7 linked regions of the Macaca mulatta genome follow. The protein of the gene in region 1 interacts with the protein of each later gene in a biochemical or structural test. Links are inferred from orthologs where the notes say so. Each region holds a gene or a part of one and is shown in the gene's direction. Other genes may lie near its edges. The genes, in order: IKBKB, TNFAIP3, MAP3K14, TNFRSF1A, NFKBIA, NFKBIB and MAP3K1.

Region 1 (3,605 bases):
TCCTCAAATAGCCCTGTTAGAAGCCTATTTTATGCAAAAGGAAACTGCAGCTGGGGGTAAGTAACTTGCCAAGGGGTCACATAGCTAGAAAGTGGTGAACCCTAGATGTAAGCGCAGCCATTCTGACCCCACAGTCCACATTCCTTTGAGCCAGTCCATTGAGAGTCCTCAGGCAATGTGGAGGGTCCCCAGGTCTCGCTCCTCCTCAGATCTTGCATCTCAGCATGCTCCTACCACATCAGTTGACATTAGCACAGCTTTTCCATTAGGAGAACGAAGTGAAACTCCTGGTAGAACGGATGATGGCTCTGCAGACGGACATCGTGGACTTACAGAGGAGCCCCATGGGCCGGAAGCAGGGGGGAACGTTGGACGACCTGTGAGTACTGACTGGGGGGCCCCTCTGTGCCTAGCACATACAGATAACCCTGGAGCTTCTGTGTGTGTGTCCAGGGCACCCTCAGTGGCTGTGTGGGACCATTCTCTAGAGCATGCTCCCCTGTGGGGTCACCTCCAGCAAATCATCACTGAGCCTCAGTTTCCAAATCTGTTCAGTGGCAAGAAAAGCAGTCTTACCTCACGAAGTTGTAAGGATGAATTCAGGTAACGCATTTGAGACGGAGGCCATAATCTGTAAAGGCTCTAAAATGCAAGCAGCCTCTACCCCTGTATCAGACTCCCCTGATTTGTCCCACCCACCCTGACCCAGGCATAGCTCAGAACAGAAAGTAAGATAGAGAAGTAGAGAAGGAAGAACCTGACAAGGGGGAATTCGGACCTGGAATCCGTTCGTTTGAGTCTTTGTCAGGTATTTGGCATTGACTCCAGGAGGGGAGGAGGGGTCTAGGCAGATCACTCCTACCTGAAGGAGATCACATGTCCTTCTGGCGTGCAGATGGAGGGAACCGGGCAGGCCGGGTCAGCCTCTTGAGGGCTGTGTCACCATGAGCTCAGCAGTGTTCCCTGATTCTCTCACTAGGATTCTTAGGACAGGAGCTCCAAATGTCAGAACTTTGATTCTGTCTTTTCTCTAATCAACCCTTTATTCTCCTCTAGTTCTTTTATTTGTATTTGTATTATTTAAGAGACAGGGTCTTGCCCTGTTGCCCAGGCAGGAGTGCAGTGGCACAATCATAGCTCACTGCAGCCTTGACCTCTCAGGCTCATGCAGTCCTCCCACCTCAGCCTCCCAGGTAACTGGGACTACAGGCGCATGCCACCGTGCTCAGCTAATTTAAAAATATATATATATTTTTGGCTGGGCACAGTGGCTCACACCTGTAATCTCAGCACTTTGGGAGGCCAAGGTAAGAAGATTGCTTGTGAGCCGAGAAGTTCGAGACCAGCCTGGGCAATGTGGTGAAACTCTATCTCTACCAAAAAAATATAAAAATTAGCCATATTTGACCTCAAATCTAGACAGAACTTCTTTGTATATTTTAGAGAGGAGCAAGCAAGGGAGCTGTACAGGAGACTAAGGGAAAAGCCTCGAGGTAAGTGGGGTTCTGTGTCTGCCTTGGGCTTCTCCTTATCTCATTTATGGGGCATCACTACTCTCTGCTGGCTTCCTTGAGGAACTATGCTACCCTCCCCTCTCCAGACCAGCGAACTGAGGGTGACAGTCAGGAAATGGTACGGCTGCTGCTTCAGGCAATTCAGAGCTTCGAGAAGAAAGTGCGAGTGATCTATACACAGCTCAGGTATGAGCCCCGCCCTTCCTACTCTGGAGGAAGGACTGGGAGATGCAGGCTGGGTGTGAGGCCACCTTCCTCCCTCCTCTCTGATTCACTGGACCTCATGAAGAGACTTTCTGCAGCTGCTGACTGGATGCACAGCTGCCATGGGTTCCATTTTCTCCAGCCCAAATGCCATTAGTTTGTCATGTTTATTCTTTGCAGTAAAACTGTGGTTTGCAAGCAGAAGGCGCTGGAACTGTTGCCCAAGGTGGAAGAGGTGGTGAGCTTAATGAATGAGGATGAGAAGACTGTTGTCCGGCTGCAGGAGAAGCGGCAGAAGGAGCTCTGGAATCTCCTGAAGATTGCTTGTGTGAGTGAGTGCTGTGGCCCCAGGCCCTTGGCCCATCAGCCTCCTGTGCCTTTCTGCCTCCGTGTACTGCCGCCATTCCACACGGGACGCCATAGAGCCACCAGCAGTCCACTCGGCTGCTGCTCAGGTTTCACTTCGCTGTTATTTGACTTGGTGTGAGCAGGGAGGTCAGAGGAAGGACCTGTGCTAATCATTTTCATTCATCTGTGTATTACTTTCCTGTGGCTACTATAAAGATTAGCACAAACTGAAGGGCTAAAACAACAGAAATTTGGGCTAGGCACGGTGACTCATGCCTGTAACCCCAGCAATTTGGGGAGGCCAAAGTGGGAGGATTGCTTGAGCCCAGGAGTTCAAGGCTGCAGTGAGCTGTGATTATGCCACTGCCCTCCAACCTGGGCAACAGAGCTGTCTCTACTAAAAACAAAAACAAATGTGTTATCTGAGCTCTAGAGCCCAGAAGTCCCGTGTGAGCAGGGTTGAGCTCCCTCTGAGGGCTCTTGGGGAGGGACCATCCTTGCTTCTTCCAGCTCCCGGTGGCTCCAGGTGTTCTTTGGTGTGTGACTCCAGTCTCTGTTTCTGTCTTCGTGTGACCCCTGTGTCCCTTATCTGTGACTCTTACAAGAACACTTGTCATTGGATTTGGGTCCCACCCAAATAGCCCAGAGTGATGTCATCTCAGGATCTCTAAGGACGTTTTCTCCAAGTACTATCACACTCACATGCTCCAGGAGTTGGGATGTGGGTATATCCTTCTTAGGGCCACCAATTCAGCCCACCATCATGCACAGCAGTGCACCTTGGTTGACCATCATCTGCGTCTGCGCTGCCCTCAGTGCCATAAGCCAGGTTTTCTGTGCACACCATCTTAACGTAGCTGTGAGTCCACGGAATGCCACACGGTGGGGAAATGGGAAATGAAACAGCCAAGAACTAAGACGGGCAGACCTGGCCGTGTCATGGGAGCCAGAGCTGCTGGGAGTGCAAGCCCCATTGTGAAAGGCTGCAGAGAAGGTGACATGAATGGAAGAGTGATTTAGGCATCAGTTGCCTTTAAGAGCAAAGGGAAGGAGACAGGGAGATCATTGCTCATGGTGGAAGCAGGAGGTGGTGCATTAGGAGATTCTCATTGTCAAAGGCAGAGGGGACAATCCACACACAGTGCAGAGAACAGAGGGGCTGGGGTCACGTGCCAGAGCACTGGGCATGCCTTGGGAGTGGGAGTGACACATCCTCCGGTAAGAAGAGAAGAAAGGGAGAAAGCAGGATGACAAGGTAGAGAGGATCTGAAGAGGAGAGGGAGGTGCAGGTGTGCACAGGTGATAGCCTGATGTGCCGTCTATATCCCTTGAGCATTTATTGAGTGCTAACTGTATGCCCAGCAAGACACACAGGTGAGAAGGCATGGCACCTGTTCCAAGGAGGGCCTGATCCTTTGAGGGGCACAGATAGAGGCATGAGTAAGAGCCGTTCAGGGCAGGAAGGGCTAGGAAGCAGCTCCAGGAGGCATGAGCTGCAGTTTCCATGCACAGGGGGAGCTCTAGTTTGTCTTAGAGGAG
Region 2 (4,139 bases), on another chromosome or scaffold:
AACCTGTGATATATGGCCTGACGAGTATTCTTAAATGTAATTAAAGGGACCACAGTACAGAATATTTCCAACTGGTTCTAGTTTAGCCAATCTAGTAAATGATCCAAAGGGTCCCGTGCTTAGAGGGCAGTAAGACAGTAAAAGCACCCTAAGCCTCCTCCCTGCACAGGACCTGCACCCCCACTGCCCAAGGGACTGCACCCATCTCCACATGACTCACTCTCCCTATGCAACGCATGGGGGTGGGGAAGGGAGCGCCAGTATTATCAGCCATCAGCACCCTGGGGTGAACTGATAATCAGGACAACTAAAAACACACCTAATAAAGCCTTGGAGACACATGGCAAGCACGGTGATGGACTAGAAGCGATTTCTAAGCTGAAATGCTGCTTGAATGCAATGTCAGCTGGATGCTTGGTGAGCAGAAATAGAGAAGGGGAAATGGAGCAAGGGTGGCATAGGGGTGAATGTTGTTCTGATTCCTAAGTTTACCTAAGATTGGGGCCACGGGGTCGGGTGTTCCCTGGGACCTACGTCTCATGCAGCCTGGGGTCCAGAGCTGGCAGGAACAATGGAGATGGGGACCAAAGGCTGTCACTGCTGCTTTTTCTCGAAATTCCCGCCCGGGTCCTGTCTGGGGCTCCCGCCTACGCGCTTATCACGTGCACAGCCCAAACTTTTCAGAGCCAGCCCGAGGCCTGCGGGCCCGGACGCCAGGGTGGTTTTTAGGGTTTTCTTTTTTTCTTATTTCCCTTCTTCTTCTCCACAGTTGATGATTTTCTGCAGAAAAACAACTGCGAAAAAGAACCTATTTCATTTCCAGTTCCCATCACCGCGATTTCCACATGGATGTGACGTGACCCCAGCTTCCGAAATGCCCAGGTGACTCACGCGGGGACACCCCGGGGCGGGGCGAGGGAGTTTCTCCCTGGGCCCGCGGGGACTGGGCGGGGCGAGGCAGCGGGGCGGGGCAGGGAAAGGGGGCGGGTCGGGGCGCGGAGGCCGCGAAAGCCCCTCGCCCCCTGCGCCCTCTGGCGGCCGGCGGGACGCAATTCGCAGCCCTACCCAGAGAGTCACGTGACTTTGGAAAGTACCGTGGAAATCCCCGGGCCTAGACCCGCATACAACTGAAACGGGGAAAAGCAGACTGCGCAGTCTGCAGTCTTCGTGGCGGGCCAAGCGAACTTGGAGCCCGCGGGGGCGGAGCGGCGATAGCGGCCGCCAAGAGAGATCACACCCCCGGCCGACCCTGCCAGCGAGCGAGCCCGACCCCGGGCGTCCATGGAGCGTCGCCTCCGCCCGGTCCCGGCCCCGACCTCCGCCTGCTGGGCGCTCCTGCTTTGACCCGGACTTGGGACTTTGCGAAAGGATCGCGGGGCCCGGAGAGGTAACCACTGCGCCTCCCAGTGCCGTCTGCCTCGGGCTCACCGCAGCCTAGGGCTGCGGATGCATGTTGGGCAGCGACCCCCGGGCTGGCTCCGTCTACCTGGCGTTGGTTTTGCAGCGCTCCTGGAGTGGGAGTTTGTTGGACGTTTGTTTCTGTCTGGGTTTTGAAGTGCTGGGAGTTGAGGTCACCGCTTCAGAGGTTGGAGTGACAGCCCTGGATACCTCCAGCCAGCTGTTCCTTTCGGATAATGCACGGAACTTAAGCTGCAGCTGACTGGTGAAGAGGCGCCCCTCGGGCCCTCTGATCGGGTGGTCGTTGATGCTTTGCTCCTTTCGTGTCTTTTTGGGAGCCAAGCGTTGCATGCTCCTGGCCACGTAGACCTTGCAGAAGCGCTGCGGCTTTTTCCCAAATTGTGCAGGGCCAGCCCGACGGGGAGTAGGGTACCGCAGTGGCCGCCAGCCCGGCGGAGGTGGGGGGCTTCAGTCCCAGAGACAGCTTCCCAGACGCTCAGGGGTCCGTGCACAGGGCTGGGGTCCTGGCGCAGGGTCTAGCTTTTCCAGCTGCAGCAGTGTAAGAGAAGTATGCATGTAGACATGGGTCGCTGGCGCCTGCTCCAGCCCCTACCCCACGGTTAGACTGTCTTTGTCAGCCGGAGTCGTCCCACATCCTGCCACCTGGCCTCTCAGGAAAGCAGTGGCATTAAGTAAGGAAGGAGCTTAACTCTTTTTGAACCCGCTTTGTTTTCAGTTCTCCTCGCCTCAGATCTTCTTGCCTTGGAAAGCCAGTCTGGTCAAGTGTCTCAGGGCAGCATTTTGGTGGAACCATTGTTAATTAAAGGGGCTTCTGGACCCGCAACCTTAATGTACTGGATTATTGAGCAGCCAATGAATGCTTCATTCTCATTGTTTAAGGTGCTGCTTTGATTTTTTTTTTTTTTTCAATTCTTAGTACTATTTTTGATAGGCACATCCCCAAATTTGGATGAGGTATTTGTTGATAAATAATTCATCAATTTCCACAACGCAGACAAAAATATCTGCCCAGAGTGGAAAAATAAAACAAGGGGGAGAAGAGTTTGAGCAATGGAGAAGTTCTGTAGAATCCTAGTGACAAAAGTTGAGAAATTACCTTTAAATAAGACAGAGAGGTAACAAATGTTAAGAAAAAAAAAAAGTTAAGGGTAATATTGCATTGTTTGCCACTTTATAATGTATCTGAAACATTTATTCTTTAATCTTAAGTGTAGAGAGATCCAAGAACTGGAAACTTGGACAGTGGGTTTTGATTTCTAAGGAGGCAGTTTTACAGGCTGTGCAAGGCTAAACCTACCAATGAGATCACACTGGGGTATCCAATATTGACATTTGCATGTCTTGCATATGGTTTACAGCTCTCACTATTTTAGATCTTTGGTGAAAAATCTTTAGATTCAGAAGAGAAAAAAGGGTCAGACAAGCAAAAAGAGATAACACCTCATTTGTTTAAAATCTTCCTATTGCCCATCTCTTTCCATCTGATTGTGGCAGGCACTGTAGCCACAGGTTTGGTGTTGTGGGATTGCAAGGGGCAGGTATTGAAAGACCTGGCTCCTAGGCAAAACTTCGCCCCTGAATGGCTGTGGGATCTGAGCAGTACCTGTAACTCCGTTGCCTTAGCTGCAGACTAAGTTGGTAGTGTGATTTCAAGGAAGGGAATAAGGTCATCTTTGACTTTTAATCCCATCATCAAGCATGGTGATTGGCCTTCAGTAGTGGTCAGGTAGTGCTTGTTGGGTGGATGGGTGGGTGGGTGGGTGGATGGATGGATGGATGGATGATATCGTGAGAGAGACTTTTGCTGTGCCACAAAGGAAAGGTGTATGTGTTATTTTTGTCCTGTTATGGTTTTGCCCAATTCCACCTGTAGAGGACGTCTGACATCAAAAGAGAGCACCATCTGATCCAGAGAATGACTCCCACTATGCCTTTCCCAGCAATCAGATTAAGAATCCTAATCTAAAACTATCACCAGAAAACTCCTCAGGAGAAACCATGGGTCATCTAGTCCAACCTCTCCCCTGTGAGTGGGCCACAAGAATTTAGACCACCTTATTAATGGTGTTAAGAGAGTCTAGACCCACGCAGGAGTAGCTACCCTAAAATCTAGATTTCTTCTCCTCCCTCTTCCATAGGTTTAACATTTTTATTAACTGGAGAGTTGCCCTGGCAAATAGGATGCGGCAGGAATGGAATTAACAATCACTGCGAAATTTCCTAGGGAATGTCTTTGTGCTCTGAAAACTTCTTCATCTTCTTGGAAATTAGGAATTGTGACCAGACACCCTACTAAGGGCTAGTGAATCCGAGCTGGCTTTTTACACTGTTCCATACTGGAGAGATCCCACATCATGTAAATTTGCATCATCCTGCACTGTTGGCATGGGTTGTAGATGCTGGTCTTTGCCGCCTTTCCTCCTTCATTTGCCAGAGTGGCTTCCTGGTGGAAACTTCTTTCCTTGTCTGCTTCTAGACTTTCATTCCTTCTACTAGTTGATTATGCTTAAAGATTTCAGGGTGAAAAGCCAGGCAGACATGCCCCTGTGTTGGTACCTGGAGGGTGATGATAAAATTTCATTGGCAGTTGAGTTAAAATGATTGAGCTCCAATATCTGTTCTTAGAAGTATAGAATTTATTGTTCTATTATTATTTTGTGGTTTTTCATTTTTTGTTTTCGTAGAGACCTGGGTCTCACTATGTTGCCCAGCCTAATCTC
Region 3 (3,605 bases), on another chromosome or scaffold:
GGCTGGAGTGCAATAGCTCACTCATAGCTCACTGCAGCCTCAAGCTCCTTGGCTCGAGTGATCCTGCCGCCTCAGCTTCCTGAGTATGAGTAGCTGGGACCACAGGCATGCACCACCATGTCTGGCTCATTTTTTTAATTTTTTGTAGCTATACATGGGGTCTCAGTATGTTGCCCGGGCTGGTCTCAAATTCCTGGATTTAAGCTGTCCTCCCACCTCAGTCTCCCAAAGTGCTGGGATTACAGGCATGAGCCACTGCCTGACCCTTTTTTCTAATATCTTTTGAAGAAAGTAGAGCTAAGCAAAAATTACAAATACAGATCACCAGGAAAAAAAACCACTGTTCACATCTGCCATCTATTCTTTCAGTCTTTTATGCAAATAAGTTTTCTATTATGATTTTTAAATTTCACTTACTGGTATTTCAGGAACATCATACCAGTAATTAACCTTCTACAACCTAATTTGTAATATCCAGCCCCTGCCCTATTTTCAAAAAACACTTTAAGGGTTTGGTCCAAAGGGCAGAGTCCATATCATGGGTGCTCTGTTGCTTGGTACAAGTTCCCAGCAGAGTCCCCGCCTAGCTCCTCCCTACAAGTTTGACTTGGAGATGTTATTTCTGTATTTAAAGTACTTTAACATGGCCGGATACAGTGGCTCATGCCTGTAATCTCAGCACTTTGGGAGGCCGAAGTGGGTGGCTCACCTGAGATCAGGAGTTTGAAACCAGCCTAGCCAGCATGGTGAAACCCCATCTCTACTAAAAATATAAAAATTAGCTGGGCGTGGTGGCTCATGCCTGTAATTCCAGCTACTCAGGAGGCTGAGGCAGGAGAATCGCTTGAACCCAGGAAGCGGAGGTTGCAGTGAGCCAAGATCGCACCACCGTACTCCAGCCTGGGTTGACAGAGCGAGACTCTGTCTCAAAGAACGAAAAAGATAATAAAATAAAACGTACTTTAACAGTGACAAATTTAAGATACCCCGAGGATTAACTGGGGTGACCATTGCCTAGGCTCCTGCCCATCAGCATTCCAGGTGACTTTATGTCTTATCCGCCTTCTCAGGGGACTACATCCCTGGCACAGAGACCCACATGGCTCCGGAGGTGGTGTTGGGCAGGCGCTGCGACGCCAAGGTGGATGTCTGGAGCAGCTGCTGCATGATGCTGCACATGCTCAACGGCTGCCACCCCTGGACTCAGTTCTTCCGAGGGCCGCTCTGCCTCAAGGTCGGTGACGGCACCCGGCATGGCCAACATGGGGAGCTGCAGGGCCCTGGGGCCCGGGCCGCAGGCTTGAGGGGCTGCTCTGCGGTGGCAGTTGGAGCAAGGGGAGGCCTGGTCATCCATGTGGGATCCTAATTCAAATACTTGCCACCCAAATCTGGGGGTACAAAGGGAGATCCAGCTGCGGAGGCTCACCAAGTTCATGGCAGGTGAGAACTCTCTTCTGTCCATACCCTGGGCCCCATCCACCTGCCTCCTAACGGGCCGGGCCTGGAAGCTCTGGGCATCTTGCTGCCTGGCTCTGGCCTGTTTTACGGGCTCCATGTGTCCCTGTCCTGGGAAAAGTGCCCTCACTGTAGCCCAGACCCCTCCATTCCTTGTGATAGACCCCAGCACAGTGGCAGCAGGGGCCGGCGGGAGTTGCACAGAGAGCAGTAACAGCCGGGTATCAGGAAATGAGGGAAGGCAGGCCTCACCTGTTGTCTTTTGTGCCCCAGATTGCCAGCGAGCCTCCGCCTGTGAGGGAGATCCCAGCCTCCTGTGCCCCTCTCACAGCCCAGGCCATCCAAGAGGGGCTGAAGAAAGAGCCCGTCCACCGCGCGTCTGCAGCGGAGCTGGCAGGGAAGGTGAACCAGGCACTACAGCAAGGTAAGAGGAGCTGCGCGCTGGCTGACCCGGGGGGCAGAGGACAGAGGTGGACAGAGGAGACAGGTGGCCACAGGTCCAGAGCAAGGTACCCCTCAGAGCCTTAGTTTCCCCCTCTGGAGTAGGGGGTGCAGCAGCCTCGGGGTTGTTGGGAGATTGTGGCAGTACCACGCCTTGACGCAGAGGCAGCGCTCAGGAGATGGGAAAGAGAAAATTCACATACAAACTCGAAGTGCTTTTTCCATTCTCCCACTCAACTACAATCAACCCGAAGACTCCTGTGACCACATGTGTGGGGATTTCCACCCCACCAAGCCAGCAATCAGTTCGCAGCAGACACGAGCTGGGTGTCCTCTAATTCAGTTCTGTTCTAACACTATCTACCTGGAGGCAGCGTCAGAGCCCGCAACAGGAAGGCTTGATCCCCAAGACTGTGCCCCCTACCCATGCCAGTCTCAGGCCCATGTGTTTACCTGTGCTTCTGACCAACTGGCTATAAGTCAGGGACCCCACGACCCCCTCCTTGGGATCGATTAATTTGCTGGAGTGGCTCACAGAACTCAGAGAAACCTTACATTTACCAGTTTATTAGAAAGGATATTACAAAGGATACAAATGAGATGCATAGGGCAAGGCATGTGGGAGGGAGCGCGGAGCTTCTAGGGCTTGGCACCCTCCAGGAACCTCCACGTGCCCAGCTACCAGAAGCTCTCTGAACCCTGTCGTCTTGGGTTTTTGTGGAGGCTTCATTACAAAGTCATGACTGATGAAACCATTGGCCATTGGCGAACAGCTTAACCTTTAGCCCCCTTCCCTCCCAGTATGTGGGATGGTAGGATGAAAGTCCCAGCCCTCTAATCCTGCCTGTGTCTCTCGGATGACCAGCCTCCATCCTGAAGCTACCTAGGGGCTGCCAGCCTTCAGTCAATCCATTAGTACATAGAAAGAGATCACTTTGGAGAGGAAGGCTTTTAGGAGTTATGTGCCAGAAATGGGGTTAAAGATGAAATATATGTTTACTAATATCACAAGGGTTATGATGTGTAAAGGGGGCTGAAACTCGCTAGGAATCCAAGAATACAAAATAAAGAGAGGCCGGGAGCAGTGGCACACACCTGTAATCCCAGCACTTTGGGAGGCTGGGGCAGGAGGATCACTTGAGGCCAGGAGTTCAAGATCAGCCTGAGCAACATAGCAAGACCCTTTCTCTGCAAAAAAAATTTAAAAATTAACCAGACATGGTGGCATGTGCCTGTAGTCCCAGCTACTCAGGAGGTGGGAGGATTGTTTGAGCCTGGGAGGTCGAGGCTACAGTGAGCCACGATTGTACCACTGCACTCCAGCCTGGGCAGCAGAGACCCTGACTCAAAAAATAAATAAATGAAGCCAGGTAACACTCGAGAGCCATTTGACTGGAAAAAAGCAGAAAGTTGGTGGGATGTGGGACTGTTGGGACCCCTCGGGTGCTGCTGATGGGCATGTGGACAAGGCTGCCCACTCTGGAGAGCGCCTGGCTGCACTCAGGCAGATGTCTGCAGACTGAGACCCAGGACCGCTACCCCTGGGTGCACTGACAAAGGAATGCCAACAGATCCATATGGGAACACGCCTGAGGATGCGCGCTACAGCTTCCTTTGTGGGAGGGGAGTAGGGTACAGTGGGGTCCCTCATTGGGAGGACAGAGACACAAAAAAGGATGCCGCATGGAGCACCAAGCAGTTAAAGCAAC
Region 4 (3,605 bases), on another chromosome or scaffold:
GAACAGGACAAGCCGTTTAGCTGCCGTGAGGTTGGCCTGAGACTGCAAAGCGTACCTTCCAGAATACCGTGGCGTGCAGGGGCTCCAGGACTCCCCAGCATGCCCTCAGCTCCCACCTGACAGTCATCCAAGCTGAGTCACTAGCCTTGGCCAGCTCTATTTGAGTGTCCTGCACACCTTTGCCCACTCCTCCCCCCATCTCAACTTTATCCCCCGTCTACCCATGTGGGATCCCCAACCTTTCCCTTTTACTCTCCTCCCCATTTGTCATTGCTAACCCCGGGTGTTTGTGTAAATTTTGAGGTGGAGGGGATGGGCCAGGGAATGTGAGGGCAGGAGGCGGAGTAAGGTTTGATACAAGCATGTAAAGAAACTTCCTTCTGCTTCTGCCCGCTCCCCAGGAGTGGAGCTCACAGGAACATCACTCGCCCCCACCACCAGCTGACCTTTTTAGAAATACTCCCGGGATGTGCACAGATCCTCACTGTTTACCTCTGTGAATGTTCACAAAGCAATCACACGGTGAACCCAGCACCCAGAGGAAGAAACACCGCCCCAATCTTTAGGGCTGCTTGTTGGAAGAAAGGGCCATCACTGAAGTAACCTGCCAATTCCCAATCAAAAACACATCCTTTCAACATCTGCCCTGTGTCCAGCACTGTTGGCTGCTGTGGGGGATTTCACAGTAAGGATAAAATACGGGGCTGGACTCACGCCTGTAATCCTAGCACTTTGGGAAGTCAAGGTGGGAGGATCACTTGAGCTCAGGATTTTGAGACCAGCCTGAGCAACATAACAAGACCCTGACTCTACTAAAAATAAAAAAAAATTAGCTGGGCATGGTGGTGCACGCCTGTAGTCCCAGCTATTCAGGAGGCTAAGGTGGGAGGACTGCTTGAGTGTGGATGGTGGAGGCTGTGGTGATTTTATCACTGCTCTCCAACCTGGACAACAGAGCAAGATCCTGTCTCAAAAAAAAAAAAAAAATACAGCTTAGGTCTGGGGCCTACTAGCTTTGAGTTGAGGGAACAAAAATGAACACACAGGACAACTAGAGAACAATAAGCATCAGATTGTATGATCCCAACTGTCTAAGATTCAAGGAAGAACTCTAACGTTGGTGAGTGGGTTGGCCTGGGCAGCATGTTTCACAAGGAAGGACTTGAGCTGGGGAAGTTTTATTTATTTATTTTTATTTTTATTTTTTATTATTTATTTATTTATTTATTTATTTATTGAGACGGAGTCTTGCTCTGTCGCCTGGGCTGGAGTGCAGTGGCTGGATCTCAGCTCACTGCAACCTCCGCCTCCCAGGTTTACGCCATTCTCCTGCCTCAGCCTCCCGTGTATCTGGGACTACAGGCGCCTGCCACCTCGCCCAGCTAGTTTTTTGTATTTTTTAGTAGAGACGGGGTTTCACCGAGTTAGCCAGGATGGTCTCGATCTCCTGACCTCGTGATCCGCCCGACTTGGCCTCGCAAAGTGCTGGGATTACAGGCTTGAGCCACCGCGCCCGGCCAGAGCTGGGGAAGTTTTAGATCTGCTGCCCCTAAGCTTCCCATCCCTCCCTCTCCTGATGGTGTCTATCCTCTATCTGATTCTTCCCCAGGTGCTCCTGGAGCTGTTGGTGGGAATATACCCCTCAGGGGTTATTGGACTGGTCCCTCCCCTCAGGGACAGGGAGAAGAGAGATAGTGTGTGTCCCCAAGGAAAATACATCCACCCTCAAAATAATTCCGTTTGCTGTACCAAGTGCCACAAAGGTAGGGGCAAGTGGAAACGGTGAATGCCCTCAGGTCTGGGGTGCTGCTTCTTCCTCTGCTTCTTCCAGATGTTCTTCCCTAACTTTGCTGCCTCTCCTGGACTGGGATTTTCTCCCTCCCTCCTCTCCTAGAGACTTCAGGGAATTGGCTCTGGCTGTTGTCCCTAGCATGGGGCTCCTTCCTTGAACTCTCACCTGCAGCCTAACTGCTGCTCCATTCACAGGAACCTACTTGTACAATGACTGTCCAGGCCCGGGGCAGGATACGGACTGCAGGGAGTGTGAGAGCGGCTCCTTCACCGCTTCAGAGAACCACCTCAGGCACTGCCTCAGCTGCTCCAAATGCCGAAAGGGTGAGTGTGCGCAGGCTGGAGAGTCAGGCGGGTCTTGACCGGTGTGTGCATGCCTGTCTGTGTGCAGGCTGGTTGGTGTGGGCAGGAAGGTGTGTGTGTTGGGACACTGCATGGATGTGAGTGTGTGTTACAGAGACAGACACACACTTAGGGGAATATCAGGAAGGAGATGCAGGGACAGGAGGATGCAGGACTCATACCCCATCTTCTCCCCTCACCAGAAATGGGCCAGGTGGAGATCTCTTCTTGCACCGTGGACCGGGACACCGTGTGTGGCTGCAGGAAGAACCAGTACCGGTATTATTGGAGTGAAAACCTTTTCCAGTGCTTCAATTGCAGCCTCTGCCTCAATGGGACCGTGCACCTCTCCTGTGAGTGCAGCTCTCCTGACGCCAAGCCCTCTCCCCACCCCAGGGACTGGCCCTTCCCCATGTAGCGGCATTTCCTTTCCTTCCCCTCCCATAGTCTGTGGGTCTGACGACCAACTCCTCTCTGGCCGCCCCCACCCTTTCCCTCGTCACTTCCTCTGTCCTGTGGGGTGAGGGTGCAGGGTGCTCCTTCTTTAGCTGTGCTGCACTTCTCCCTACAGGCCAGGAGAAACAGAATACCGTGTGCACCTGCCATGCAGGGTTCTTTCTAAGAGAAAACGAGTGTGTCTCCTGTAGTAAGTGAGTATCTCTGAGAGCTGCTGGGCACTGGATGGTGGCATGGATTGGGATGGGTGACTTTGATGGGAGCCACTAGTGGGACAACGGATGCCAGGATGCCCCAGAGTGCTCAGGCTCCTACTGGCTGAGTGGGAGACACTTTGTTAAGACACCAGGCAGTCCTTCCCCTTGCTCTTCAAATCTTTTTTTTTTTTTTTTTTTTGGAGACGGAGTCTCGTTCTGTCGCCCAAGCTGGAGTGCAGTGGTGCGATCTTGACTCACTGCAAGCTCTGCCTCCCAGGTTCATGCCATTCTCCTGGCTCAGCCTCCGGAGTAGCTGGGACTACAGGCGCCCGCCACCACGCCCAGCTAATTTTTTGTATTTTTTAGTAGAGACGGGGTTTCACAGTGTTAGCCATGATGGTCTCAATCTCCTGACCTCGTGATCCGCCCGTCTCGGCCTCCCAAAGTGCTGGGATTACAGGCTTGAAACACTGCACCCGGCCTCGCTCTTCAAATCTTAAGGAGTCTTTGAGGATAGAAGATCATGCCCCAAGGACTTGTAGCCCTTCCAACTCAGATATGTAGATTCTTGGGCCATAGGATCTACGATAGTTCATTGATTCTAGGACATATACTCTGACAGCTCTGAAATCAAACTTCCTGTAATTGATGATTCATCAAGGTTTAATTGGCAGCTTTGTGCGTGTCTGAGTAGTCAGGTAAAGAAAAGTGCCTTTTATTCTTGATTGCATCTTAGGTTTGATGAAATATGGTATTTCCCTCTTAGTCTCTGTGTCCAGGCCTCCTCACTCCTGGCTCCACAGTGGCTGTTCTTGTCAC
Region 5 (4,194 bases), on another chromosome or scaffold:
CGAAGTGTGCTTTATTTTGCCTGTACCAATTCTACCAAGTAGATGAATTCAGTCCATGGCTTGCAGGCTTGGAGGTGGAGGTGGGATGGAGAGCATAAATTACATTTCTGCAGGTGAAACCAGAGCATAGTGAGCCAAAACCCCTTTCTACCTGGGTGGCATGAATGGGTCCAACTGCTACTATCCCCCAGGACGAGGGAGCAAGGCGGGGGGGGGGCAGGATGGGAGGATGGGGCTGCCTTGAGCCTCCTGCAGGATGACTGGCAACTACTTTCTTAGCGGTCCTTAAGGTCCAATCGCGGTTAAGGCACTAACTAAACTCATTCTTCAGCCTCCTTCTCTAAGTGCTCCTCGAATTGCTCAGTTTAGATGCCCAGAAGTAGGCTCAGGATCCATTCTCTGCGGCAGCACAATGTAGGTCAGATAGCATGAATGCAACAGCTACTTATGAACACAATAGCTACTCTGTTATTGCAAGGTATCCACAACCACCACTACAAAGATTAACACCTTGCTTTACTTGGGGGGAAAAAAAAAAATCATGGTCCTATTCAGCAGTTTCCCCATACAGGGAGAGTTTGCCCCTCCCCCACTCAACAAGGCTGTTCATCCCTAGGAAGTGATTGGAAGTGATTTGAGAGTTTTCCAAAGATTTAGGCTTTCCACTCCTCCAAAGCTTTCACAGTTCTACCTGGCAGAGGTGCGTGGGGGGTAGGGGAGGAAGGGCGCGAAGCTAAACGTCCCCGTTCTGCAATGAGCCTGATATTAGCAGAAACACAAGAGCGGCCTGCAGCCCCATAACCACAGTGCGTCCTTCCCCTTAGAAGTCTGGGGAAAGAAAATCCCTACGCCCAGCCATCATTTCCACTCTTGCGTTTTCAAAAGATCAAAAAACGGAAAGGACCGGCAGGTTGGCAAACCCCAAAGAGGGACCGCCCATCATGTCGGCGTCCTTGGGATCTCAGCAGCCGACGACCCCAATTCAAATCGATCGTGGGAAACCCCAGGGAAAGAAGGTTCACTTGCAGAGAGACAGGATTACAGGGTGCAGGCTGCAGGGAAGTACCGCGGGGAAGGGGGCCTGGTCGGAAGGACTTTCCAGCCACTTGGCACTCATCAAAAAGTTCCCTGTCCGTGACCCCAGTGGCTCATCGCAGGGAGTTTCTCCGACGAACCCCAGCTCAGGGTTTAGGCTTCTTTTTCCCCCTAGCAAAGGACGAAGCCAGTTCTCTTTTCTGGTCTGACTGGCTTGGAAATTCCCCGCGCCTGACCCCGCCCCAGAGAAATCCCCAGCCAGCGTTTATAGGGCGCCGCGGCGGCGCTGCAGAGCCCACACCAGCCCGTGCCGCCGTCCCGCCCGCCAGCGCCCTAGCGAGGAAGCAGCGCGCAGCCCGCGGCCCAGCGCACCCGCAGCAGCGCCCGCAGCTCGCCCGCGCCATGTTCCAGGCGGCCGAGCGCCCCCAGGAGTGGGCCATGGAGGGTCCCCGCGACGGGCTGAAGAAGGAACGACTGCTGGACGACCGCCACGACAGCGGCCTGGACTCCATGAAGGATGAGGAGTACGAGCAGATGGTCAAGGAGCTGCAGGAGATCCGCCTCGAGCCGCAGGAGGTGCCGCGCGGCGCGGAGCCCTGGAAGCAGCAGCTCACCGAGGACGGGGACTCGTAAGTGGCGCAGACCCGGAGCCGGGGGTCCTCGGGAGGGCCGGATGCGCGCGGCCGGGGAGTGGGAGACGCCGGGCCTGGAGCCCGACCTGGGGAACTAGCGATGCAGCCGGGCTGGCGCCGCGGCGCCCCGGGGCTCCTGCACCGCCCCGAACGCTGCAGGGCTGCAGGGCCGCGCGGGGCACCGGCCCGACTCGGAGGGGCGGCGGCTGGGCCCTGGTGGACGGCAGCGTCGCCACACGCCCCCTCCCCCCAGGCCTGTCCTCTAGGCCGGGGGCGGGGCGGCAGCTGGGACGCGAAGTCCCCGGTTGCATAAGGCGTTTCTGGCCGCTGGCGGGCGCCGAGCAGCCGGGAGGGGAAGTACAGGGCGTTCCGAGCTGGCGGGAGGGCGGGGCGGTCTGGCCGGCGCCCGCCGGGGCCGCGGGGGGAGGGGGGCGGAAAGTCCCTGGGCGCCTGCCAGGAACACTCAGCTCATAATAACCTCGCGGAAAACACCGCGGCCTCGGCCTCCAGAAACCCCGGCCTTGCGCAATCCCCCGCAGCCCGCGCCTCCCTGGGCCCCACGCGGTGCACTCACCACCCCTGGGGTTTTTCCCTCTCTTCCCCACAGGTTTCTGCACTTGGCCATCATCCATGAAGAAAAGGCACTGACCATGGAAGTGATCCGCCAGGTGAAGGGAGACCTGGCCTTCCTCAACTTCCAGAACAACCTGCAGCAGGTGCGCCGCTTGCCTGGCCCGGGCTCTCTAACTCTGGGATGGAACTGATGTAGCAAAGTCACCCCAGATCCTTTCTGAATTCAGGGCCACTGGGCATTATTCACCCTCACCTTTTACTTCACGTCAGCCCACATCCTAGAGAGTGAAGGAAATTCCACTGATTTGGTGAGGTCTTTGTGACCCACCTGGAGTCTCTGCTATTTGCCAGTCCTCCCCACCCGCCTGTCCAGGAGGAGCAGCACCCAACCAGGAGACACGGGTTCAGGGGAACTCAGGGTGTGGGTTTGGTCCCTGGCTTACTTTCTCTGGTCTCTCCTGCATTCGTAGACTCCACTCCACTTGGCTGTGATCACCAACCAGCCAGAAATTGCTGAGGCACTTCTGGGAGCTGGCTGTGATCCTGAGCTCCGAGACTTTCGAGGAAATACCCCCCTACACCTTGCCTGTGAGCAGGGCTGCTTGGCCAGCGTGGGAGTCCTGACTCAGTCCTGCACCACCCCGCACCTCCACTCCATCCTGAAGGCTACTAACTACAATGGTATGTCTGCCTCCCTGCCCTGCCCCACCCCCTCAGGTGGCAGGTGATGTGGAGAAGGGGCAGGTGGGCCAACTTAAGGAGTCGAGGCAAGAACTTAAACTGCCAGCATTTGAAAGGTTGAGAAAATACGTGTGCAAAGTGCCTGTTGGATGCCTTTATAAAGTTCCTTCAGAACCCAGACGGTGGGTTCTTAAAATTCAGAAGATATGACTATTTGTCCCATAAAAGAATAGGTGAAAGGAGTGAGGGTTGAAACAGGTGGTTATACTTTTTTCGTTTTGTTCTTCCAGGCCACACGTGTCTGCACTTAGCCTCTATCCATGGCTACCTGGGCATTGTGGAGCTTTTGGTGTCCTTGGGTGCTGATGTCAATGCTCAGGTTAGTGCTTCCTGCCTCCGATGCACTGAGTCAAGTTCCCCGTGCTCATGTTGTGAGCAGAAATTCCAAACGCAGCCATAAGCATCTCAAATTCCTTTTGGTTTCAGGAGCCCTGTAACGGCCGGACTGCCCTTCACCTCGCAGTGGACCTGCAGAATCCTGACCTGGTGTCGCTCCTGTTGAAGTGTGGGGCTGATGTCAACAGAGTTACCTACCAGGGCTATTCTCCCTACCAGCTCACCTGGGGCCGCCCAAGCACCCGGATACAGCAGCAGCTGGGCCAGCTGACACTGGAAAACCTTCAGATGCTGCCGGAGAGTGAGGATGAGGAGAGCTATGACACAGAGTCAGAGTTCACGGAGTTCACGGAGGATGAGGTGAGTCTGTGAACTCCTTGGGCTCTCTAACTAATGAGGGACCATTCCCTTCACCCTCCCGGGCCCCTAGAACTGCTCCTTATCAGAGGGGTATCTACATAATGAGTCTCTCAAATTTCTGTGCATAACCAGTATCCCAATAATGTACCTTTTTTTTTTTTTAAAATAGCTTACCCTTTTTTAAAGAAAAGCATTTTTTAAAACATTTTTAAAATGGGAGTTAAAGGCAAACTCCCTCAGCCTGTAAAGTTCATTGTATTTGGGCTATGGAGAATGGAGTCCAAGGGTTATTTCCAGTAGCGGCCTCCCCATCCCAGTGGCTTGGCAGAGCTTCGGAAGTTTAATGTGTCTTCTTTCCCCTTGTTTTCAGCTGCCCTATGACGACTGTGTGTTTGGAGGCCAGCGTCTGACATTATGAGCGCAAAGGGGCTGAAAGAACATGGACTTGTATATTTGTACAAAAAAAAGTTTTATTTTTCTAAAAAAAGAAAAAAGAAAAAAAATTTAAAGGGTGTAC
Region 6 (4,339 bases), on another chromosome or scaffold:
TTAAGTGGGGAATAAAGGGATTCAAATGGTCAGTGAGGGGCCAGAACACCCACCAACCGAGTTACACTGGGATGGGATGGTGGTAAAAATGGAGCACGGGGAGGGAGGGGGCGGAGAAAAAATCTTATCAGCATGCAAAGTGATGCCAGGAGAGGTGATTAGTGAGGGGCAGAGAGGCTGGAGAGGAAGATTTAGAAGGAGAGGGAGAAAGTAGGGGCTTTTGCCCAGGCTGATCTTGAACTCCTGGGCTCAAGCGATCCAACCACCTTGGCCTCTCAAAGTACTGGGGTTACAAGCATGAGCCATTGTGTCTGGCCCTGACTTACTTTCTTTCTTTTTTACTTTTTAGAGAAAGGGTCTCGCTCATGTCACCCAGGCTGGAGTGCAATGGTGCGATCATAGCTCACTGCAGCCTCAAACTCCTGGGCTCAAGCGATCCTCCTCCTCCTACCTAAGGGATTCAGGGCATGAAGGAACACTCAGGAGGAGTTAGGAAGGACACGACAGTGTGTCAGTGTGTGTGCGGGAAGGGTTAGATTTACAAGGCAGAGGGAAGTTTAGAAAGGAAGAGAGAAGGGAAGGGACGCTTTGGCTGGGAGGCAGGTTTAGGAGGGAGGTGCAGTGGTGCAGTGGAGGCGGTAGGTTTAGGAGAGGCGCGGAACAAGGGGAAGCCATAGAAGGGGACAGCAGGGGTCCCTCAGCATCCTCTGGTTGCCTCTAACAATCAGGTACCCTTAGCAGCCGGGACCGGGGCAACTTATGTTCTTTGCAGCGAGGGTCCTTAGCAACCAAGGTGTGAGAAACACGCGATCATTGGCAACTTGGCAAGTGGATGTGGTAAACGAACCCTGAACACCCTGCGACCCAGAAACCCACCAGCCTGGCGATATAGATCGCTTAGCAACAACCCTCAGAACCCCACTCCCCGAGGCGCTCCCTACTTCCCGCCCCACTGCGGCCGCCCTTGGGCCCCGGGGCCTGCAGCCTTCAATCAGGCCCCGGCGCGGCCCGACCCTCCCACCCGGATTCCCGACTCACGGTCCGGCTCTGCCATGGGCGCGGTGCTGAAGCCCTCGAGGCTGTCACCGACCGCTCTGTCCCGTCACCGACCACTGTGTCCCGTCACCGACGGCTCTGTCCTGTCACCGACTGCTCTGTCCCGTGACGGCACCAGAAATGGGAGTGGCCGGGATAGGGCACTGAACTACAACTCCCAGCAGACATTGCGGCCGCAGACGCGCTTTCCTACGACACCCGGAGCGCCCCAGTTAGGTAAGAAAGCGCGCGAGGACCGGACTACGAGTCCCAGAAGTCATGGCGTCAGCAGCCATGTTGGTAAAGGGCGCCCGGAAAATGTGGGAACGGCTAGAGAGTCGTAGTCCTCTCGAATACTCTGATTGGTCAGCATGCGGCACGGGGGCGGGGTGTGAGCGATTCAGCATATTATCATTGGATGAATCAGGGGGCGTGGTGGGGAATTTCCCGCAGGGCGGAAGCGCCAGAACTCCCGGCAAAGCCCAGCTACAGGCGGGCCACTGCGAGGGGCCCCTGAGGTGGCGGGGGCCATGGCTGGGGTCGCGTGCTTGGGAAAAGCTGCCGACGCAGATGAATGGTGCGACAGCGGCCTCGGCTCCCTGGGTCCGGACGCAGCGGCCCCCGGAGGACCGGGATTGGGCGCGGAGCTGGGCCCGGGGCTGTCGTGGGCTCCCCTCGTCTTCGGCTACGTCACTGAGGATGGGGACACGTGAGTGAACTTTAGGCTGCCAAACGGAGCCTTAGGACCCGGCATCTGATTCCCCATTAGTGTCTGATCCCTGAGGCTTCCTAACCTCACACTCCTAAATCTGACTTCCGATGCTGAACTTCCTGACCTCTAACCCCCGAGTCCTAACTTTTAACAAAACCAATCTTCTTTCCAGCTATGATCCTCACCCAATCATTTCTGACCTTTTCCTGAACTATGATTCTCAGCTCCTGGAATCCACGTTGTATCCACTGATACCCAAACCTGACTCCAGTCCTGAGACTTTTGTTAGAACTGTGGCTTCTCCTGACTTCTAACCTCCAAATATGATCTTTGATTCTTAGTTCCTGATTTGAGCCTTAAAGTTTGATTTCCAAAATTAATGCTTGGTCCCTTACTCTAAGATCCTGTCATCTGAGCAGTGTTCTTCAAATCTTAAATTCAAAGAGAGAGAATGTAAGCTCTTCTATGTTGAATTCCTAATTAAAGTAAAAAAAAAAAAAAAAGGAAAATAGAAAAAAAGAATGTAAGCTCCACGAGACCAAGGATCCATCTGTTAAACAAATATTCTTTACACAGTACAACATTCCAGGCTCCGTTTTAGGTGCTAGTGATAAAGGCAGTGGAGAAAACAGACAAAAACTTAAGCGCTTGTGGAGCATACATTTTAGTGGAACTAAATAAACAGATAAGACCGCAAGGAAGGAAAGAAACAGAAAGACAGGAAGAAACAAAGAAAGACACGCAGAAAGAAAGAAACATAGAAAGTAAGAGAAGGAAATAAAGTCAGAGGTAGTAAGTACTTTGGAGAAAAATAAAGCAGGAAAATGAGGCAATAGATAAACAGGATAAGAGCATTTCAGGGAGAAGGAACTGCAGTTGCAAAGCCCAGATGAGGGACTGTACTGGGTTTTTTGTCTGTTGTGTTTTCTGCTGTATGCCCAGTGATGCAAGCAGTGCCTGACCCAGGAGGCACTGAAGAAATATTTATCTTTTCAAAGAACCAGCTTTATAATCTTGTTAATTTTCATTACATTTCATTACTTAATTTTGGTTTCTTTTTTTTTTTTTTTTTTTTTTACTTTTTATATAATTAGTCTCTGTCCTGGCTTTTTTTTTGAGACAGAGTCTCGCTCTGTCGCCCAGGCTGGAGTGCAGTGGCCGGATCTCAGCTCACTGCAAGCTCCGCCTGCCGGGTTTAAGCCATTCTCCTGCCTCAGCCTCCCGAGTAGCTGGGACTACAGGTGCCCGCCACCTCGCCTGGCTAGTTTTTTTTTTTTTTAGTAGAGACAGGGTTTCACTGTGTTAGCCAGGATGGTTTCGATCTCCTGACCTCGTGATCCGCCATCTCGGCCTCCCAAAGTGCTGGGATTACAGGCTTGAGCCACCGCGCCCGGCCGGTTTTTTTGTTTTGTTTTGTTTTGTTTTTTGAAATGGAGTTTCACTCTGTCGCCCAGGCTGGAGTGCAGTGGCACCATGTTGACTCACTGCAACCTCCATCTCCTGGGTTCAAGCAATTCTCCTGCCTCAACCTCCCCAGTAGCTGGGATTACAGGTGCCCACCACCATGCCTGGCTAATTTTTGTGTTTTTAGTAGAGATGGGGTTTCACCATGTTGGCCAGGCTGGTCTCAAACTCCTGACCCCGTGATCTGCCTGCCTCAGCCTCCCAAAGTGCTGGGATTGCAGGCATGAGCCACCATGCCAGGCTGTTCTGACTTTTATTATGTTCATTCTTCTGCTTACTTTGGCTTTAATTTGTTCTTCTTTTTGTAGTTTCTTAAGGTGAAAGTTGAGATCATTGATTTGAGACCTTTCTTTTTTCCTCTTTTCCAGTATAGGTATTGAGTGCTATAAATTTGCTCCTGACTATTGTTTAGCAATATTGTTTTAGCAATATCTCTCAAATTCTGGTATGTTGTGTTTTTATTTTCATTTAATTCAGTATGCTTTATTATTTTTTTGAGTTGGAGTCCACTCTGTTCCCCAGGCTGGAGTGCAGTGGCACAGTTTCCGTTCACTGCAACCTTGTCCTCCTGGGTTCAAGTGATTCTCTTGCCTCAGCCTCCCGAGTAGTTGGGATTACAGGGGGGTGCCACCACCCCCGGATAAGTTTTGTAATTTTTTTGGTAGAGACAGGGTTTCACCATGTTGGCCAGGCTGGTCTCAAACTCCTTACCTCAAATGATCTGCCCACCTTGGCCTCCCAAAGTGCTGGGATTACAGGCATGAGCCACCACACCCGGCCTAATTCAGTATTTTTTTTCTTTTTCTTTTTTTTTTGAGACTGGAGTCTTGCTCTGTCACCAAAGCTGTAGTACAGTGGAATGATCTCAGCTTGCTGCAACCTCTGCCTCCCAGGTTCAAGCAATTCTCATGTTTCAGCCTTCCGCGTAGCAGGGATTACAGGCATGCACCACCACATCCGGCTAATTTTTGTGCTTTTAGCAGAGATGGGATTTCACCATGTTGGCCAGGCTGGTCTGGAACTCCTGACTTAAAGTGATCCACCCACCTCGGCCTCCCAACGTGGTGGGATTACAGGTGTGAGCCACCACACCCGGCCTAAAAATATTTGTATTTCTGTCTGTCTGTC
Region 7 (3,605 bases), on another chromosome or scaffold:
GTTTCTTAGAGAAAACATTGTATATCTGTAAAATATGCAAATTTTAAAATTTGCAAAATGCATAGGAAAAGTGTCATTTTTTAGTATTAGAATAGGTATATTTCCGAGACTTCAGTGTTCTCATGGTATTTGTTGTGCTGCTCGCTTTTTGAAACTTTAAAGTTAGGTTGTTTACCTGGTCACCTGAATGACTGAACGTAAGAAATACTGTAGAGAGATTTTATAATATTCAGACCTCATTCTGCCTATGTAAGGAAATGGAGGGTTTTTGGATGGGAAGGTTTTGTTTTTAATTCAAGAGCTTCTTAGTAAAAGTTCAGAAATCAAAATGTCAAGGTCTTTGTTACTTCTTTTAACAAAATGTAAGACTTTTATCTAATTTGGTATTTAAATCAATACTAAGAGCCATTGTTGAAGATTCTGTGCTTAACGTAGAGGATATGTTAAATTTACAAAATTAGACCTAATAAATGAGTATTACTATTTATGGTGACATTGTTCATGTGATTTTAGTGGTGGAAAAGTAAACACTCCTGAAAACATCATTTCTCCACTTTTTCACAAGGCCTTGCATTATGCCTCTAATATTGTATAGTATTTTAGCCAAGATCCAGGATTGATGTTGCTTTTCCTTTGCTTTTTAGCCGCACAAGTCAGCTGTCCATATCAACACTGTTGGAACTGTGCAAAGGCCAAGCAGGAGAGTTGGCAGTTGGCAGAGAAATACTTAAAGCTGGTAATAACTTTTCACTTAAAATGAATATAGCATGTTTTATCATGTTCCTCAGCAGCCTTGTCTAATCTCATAATCTCTCATGAGGCAGTTTACAGGATTTTGAAGTAATTTTATAAATTGATTAGATTAGAAATGTGAATTAATCTGAGAGAGAAATTCTTGAAAATAGTTCAGAATATTTTTGTTGGCCTTATACCATTTAATCATGTCTTGTTTTAGATTTTAATATCACTATTTTTTAATCACTTATTTTTACTTTCCTTTTTGTAGGATCCATTGGTATTGGTGGTGTTGATTATGTCTTAAATTGTATTCTTGGAAACCAAACTGAATCAAACAATTGGCAAGAACTTCTTGGCCGCCTTTGTCTTATAGATAGACTGTTGTTGGAATTTCCTGCTGAATTTTACCCTCATATTGTCAGTACTGATGTTTCACAAGCTGAGCCTGTTGAAATCAGGTGATTTTTCTTCTGAAAATATATAACATGTATCTTTCTGCCCTCCCTACACCCTCCTCAAGAATGACACATTTTAGATTTATGAAAGACTCAGAAAATACAGAGCATAAATAGGTTGCTGATACCTTAATATTTGATTGACATATGAAAACCCAAAGTCTAGGATGTTTAATTTAAAATTTATAGATACTTTATGCTGAAATGGTTTTTGAAGTATACATGCTGTAAATTACTACCATTTTTTAAGTTTCCATGTGTTTTTCGGTAATTGGAACTTATTATTGTAATGAATGTTTTTTCTTTCAGGTATAAGAAGCTGCTGTCCCTCTTAACCTTTGCTTTGCAGTCCATTGATAATTCCCACTCAATGGTTGGCAAACTTTCCAGAAGGATCTACTTGAGTTCTGCAAGAATGGTTACTACAGTGCCCCATGTGTTTTCAAAACTGTTAGAAATGCTGAGTGTTTCCAGTTCCACTCACTTCACCAGGATGCGTCGCCGTTTGATGGCTATTGCAGATGAGGTGGAAATTGCTGAAGCCATCCAGTTGGGCGTAGAAGACACTTTGGATGGTCAACAGGACAGCTTTTTGCAGGCATCTGTTCCCAGTGACTATCCGGAAACCACAGAGAAGAGTTCCCCTGAGTGCACAATCCATTTAGAGAAAACTGGAAAAGGATTATGTGCTACAAAATTGAGTGCCAGTTCAGAGGACATTTCTGAGAGACTGGCCAGCATTTCAGTAGGACCTTCTAGTTCAACAACAACAGAGCAACCAAAGCCAATGGTTCAAACAAAAGGCAGGCCCCATAGTCAGTGTTTGAACTCCTCTCCTTTATCTCATCATTCCCAATTAATGTTTCCAGCCTTGTCAAGCCCTTCTTCTTCGGCCCCATCTGTACCAGCTGGCACTGCAACAGATGTCTCTAAGCATAGACTTCAGGGATTCGTTCCCTGCAAAATACCTTCTGCATCTCCTCAAACACAGCGCAAGTTTTCTCTACAATTCCACAGAAACTGTCCTGAAAACAGAGACTCAGATAAACTTTCCCCAGTCTTTACTCAGTCAAGACCGTTGCCCTCCAGTAATATACACAGGCCAAAGCCATCTCGACCTACCCCAGGTAATACAAGTAAACAGGGAGATCCCTCAAAAAATAGCATGACACTTGATCTGAACAGTAGTTCCAAATGTGATGACAACTTTGGCTGTAGCAGCAGTAGTAGTAATGCTGTTATACCCAGTGATGAGACGGTGTTCACCCCAGTAGAGGAGAAATGCAGATTAGATGTCAATACAGAGCTCAACTCCAGTATTGAGGACCTTCTTGAAGCATCTATGCCTTCAAGTGATACAACAGTCACTTTCAAGTCAGAAGTTGCTGTCCTCTCTCCTGAAAAGGCTGAAAATGATGATACCTACAAAGATGATGTGAATCATAATCAAAAGTGCAAAGAAAAGATGGAAGCTGAAGAAGAAGAAGCTTTAGCAATTGCCATGGCAATGTCAGCGTCTCAGGATGCCCTCCCCATAGTTCCTCAGCTGCAGGTTGAAAATGGAGAAGATATCATCATTATTCAACAGGATGTAAGTATAGATTCTTTAAGAGGTTAGAAAACTTCCTTGGGGCTAGGCAGTGACTCATACCTGTAATTCCAGCACTTTGGGAGGCTGAGGCCGAAGGATTGCTTGAGCACAGGAGTTCGAAACCAGCCTGGTCAACAAAGCAAGACCCTGTCTCTACAAAAAATTAGCCAGGCGTGATAGTGCACACCTGGGGTCCCAGCTACTCAGGAGGCTGTGGTGGGGAGGGTCACTTGAACCTGGAAGTTTGAGGCTGCAGTGAGCTGTGATTACACCATTGCACTCTAGCCTGAATAACAGAGCAAGACACTGTCTCACAGAGAGCTTCCTTGGACCATACGAAAATAAACCTAATTCAGAAATGCTGCTTCTAACATTTAGAAGCAGATTTTTCCACATAAAATTATTACTTATACAACAATAATGTTTGTACTGTTTAAACAGCAATAATTCTTGTCTGTGGGCATTTCTGGTTAATTCTATAATGGTGATCACTTTTGCATTTGATGTTAGTCACAAATACCTTCCATTCAGAGGTCACATTTATAGGTGGTTTGGGAAGCCAGACTGAACAAGAATAATATCTTGCCGACTAATTTCACAAAATCTTACTCCTTTAACAGTAAAAAGATTGCTTTCATTTAATATGTAGACACCAGAGACTCTACCGGGACATACCAAAGCAAAACAACCGTATAGAGAAGATACTGAATGGCTGAAAGGTCAACAGATAGGCCTTGGAGCATTTTCTTCTTGTTATCAGGCTCAAGATGTGGGAACTGGAACTTTAATGGCTGTTAAACAGGTAAATATCTAGTGAGCAT

What was found.
Region 2: of the proteins of IKBKB (region 1) and TNFAIP3, one has a biochemical effect on the other in vitro, tested with the Homo sapiens proteins (2 studies listed by BioGRID and IntAct). The link is inferred for Macaca mulatta from reciprocal best matches to the Homo sapiens genes IKBKB and TNFAIP3.
Region 3: of the proteins of IKBKB (region 1) and MAP3K14, one has a biochemical effect on the other in vitro, tested with the Homo sapiens proteins (3 studies listed by BioGRID and IntAct, with this or other methods). The link is inferred for Macaca mulatta from reciprocal best matches to the Homo sapiens genes IKBKB and MAP3K14.
Region 4: of the proteins of IKBKB (region 1) and TNFRSF1A, one has a biochemical effect on the other in vitro, tested with the Homo sapiens proteins (2 studies listed by BioGRID, with this or other methods). The link is inferred for Macaca mulatta from reciprocal best matches to the Homo sapiens genes IKBKB and TNFRSF1A.
Region 5: of the proteins of IKBKB (region 1) and NFKBIA, one has a biochemical effect on the other in vitro, tested with the Homo sapiens proteins (58 studies listed by BioGRID and IntAct, with this or other methods). The link is inferred for Macaca mulatta from reciprocal best matches to the Homo sapiens genes IKBKB and NFKBIA.
Region 6: of the proteins of IKBKB (region 1) and NFKBIB, one has a biochemical effect on the other in vitro, tested with the Homo sapiens proteins (2 studies listed by BioGRID). The link is inferred for Macaca mulatta from reciprocal best matches to the Homo sapiens genes IKBKB and NFKBIB.
Region 7: of the proteins of IKBKB (region 1) and MAP3K1, one has a biochemical effect on the other in vitro, tested with the Homo sapiens proteins (3 studies listed by BioGRID and IntAct). The link is inferred for Macaca mulatta from reciprocal best matches to the Homo sapiens genes IKBKB and MAP3K1.

What each region holds. Positions count from the first base shown.
Region 1 is NC_133413.1:44,402,835-44,406,439, forward strand, and holds part of IKBKB (inhibitor of nuclear factor kappa-B kinase subunit beta), read left to right. Parts: intron 1-269; coding exon 270-379; intron 380-1,443; coding exon 1,444-1,493; intron 1,494-1,600; coding exon 1,601-1,700; intron 1,701-1,898; coding exon 1,899-2,046; intron 2,047-3,605.
Region 2 is NC_133409.1:42,959,937-42,964,075, forward strand, and holds the start of TNFAIP3 (tumor necrosis factor alpha-induced protein 3), read left to right. Parts: upstream 1-1,334; 5' UTR 1,335-1,387; exon of another isoform or gene 1,388-2,247; coding exon of another isoform or gene 2,248-2,298; intron 2,299-3,219; exon of another isoform or gene 3,220-3,445; intron 3,446-4,139. UniProt on the Homo sapiens protein: Ubiquitin-editing enzyme that contains both ubiquitin ligase and deubiquitinase activities.
Region 3 is NC_133421.1:69,643,170-69,646,774, reverse strand, and holds part of MAP3K14 (mitogen-activated protein kinase kinase kinase 14), read left to right. Parts: intron 1-1,070; coding exon 1,071-1,234; intron 1,235-1,728; coding exon 1,729-1,879; intron 1,880-2,450; exon of another isoform or gene 2,451-3,605.
Region 4 is NC_133416.1:7,267,290-7,270,894, reverse strand, and holds part of TNFRSF1A (tumor necrosis factor receptor superfamily member 1A), read left to right. Parts: intron 1-401; exon of another isoform or gene 402-685; intron 686-1,593; coding exon of another isoform or gene 1,594-1,609; coding exon 1,610-1,763; exon of another isoform or gene 1,764-1,786; coding exon of another isoform or gene 1,787-1,803; intron 1,804-1,963; coding exon of another isoform or gene 1,964-1,986; coding exon 1,987-2,115; intron 2,116-2,336; coding exon 2,337-2,547; intron 2,548-2,665; coding exon of another isoform or gene 2,666-2,681; coding exon 2,682-2,783; intron 2,784-3,605.
Region 5 is NC_133412.1:108,520,542-108,524,735, reverse strand, and holds the start of NFKBIA (NF-kappa-B inhibitor alpha), read left to right. Parts: upstream 1-1,347; 5' UTR 1,348-1,437; coding exon 1,438-1,664; intron 1,665-2,274; coding exon 2,275-2,383; intron 2,384-2,710; coding exon 2,711-2,921; intron 2,922-3,211; coding exon 3,212-3,300; intron 3,301-3,407; coding exon 3,408-3,677; intron 3,678-4,047; coding exon 4,048-4,095; 3' UTR 4,096-4,194. UniProt on the Homo sapiens protein: Inhibits the activity of dimeric NF-kappa-B/REL complexes by trapping REL (RELA/p65 and NFKB1/p50) dimers in the cytoplasm by masking their nuclear localization signals.
Region 6 is NC_133424.1:49,994,175-49,998,513, forward strand, and holds the start of NFKBIB (NF-kappa-B inhibitor beta), read left to right. Parts: upstream 1-1,516; 5' UTR 1,517-1,565; coding exon 1,566-1,744; intron 1,745-4,339. Other genes in the region: SIRT2 (NAD-dependent protein deacetylase sirtuin-2), read right to left, coding at 1,039-1,054. UniProt on the Homo sapiens protein: Inhibits NF-kappa-B by complexing with and trapping it in the cytoplasm.
Region 7 is NC_133411.1:64,696,982-64,700,586, forward strand, and holds part of MAP3K1 (mitogen-activated protein kinase kinase kinase 1), read left to right. Parts: intron 1-644; coding exon 645-736; intron 737-1,006; coding exon 1,007-1,196; intron 1,197-1,502; coding exon 1,503-2,784; intron 2,785-3,404; exon of another isoform or gene 3,405-3,433; coding exon 3,434-3,586; intron 3,587-3,605. UniProt on the Homo sapiens protein: Component of a protein kinase signal transduction cascade. Activates the ERK and JNK kinase pathways by phosphorylation of MAP2K1 and MAP2K4. May phosphorylate the MAPK8/JNK1 kinase.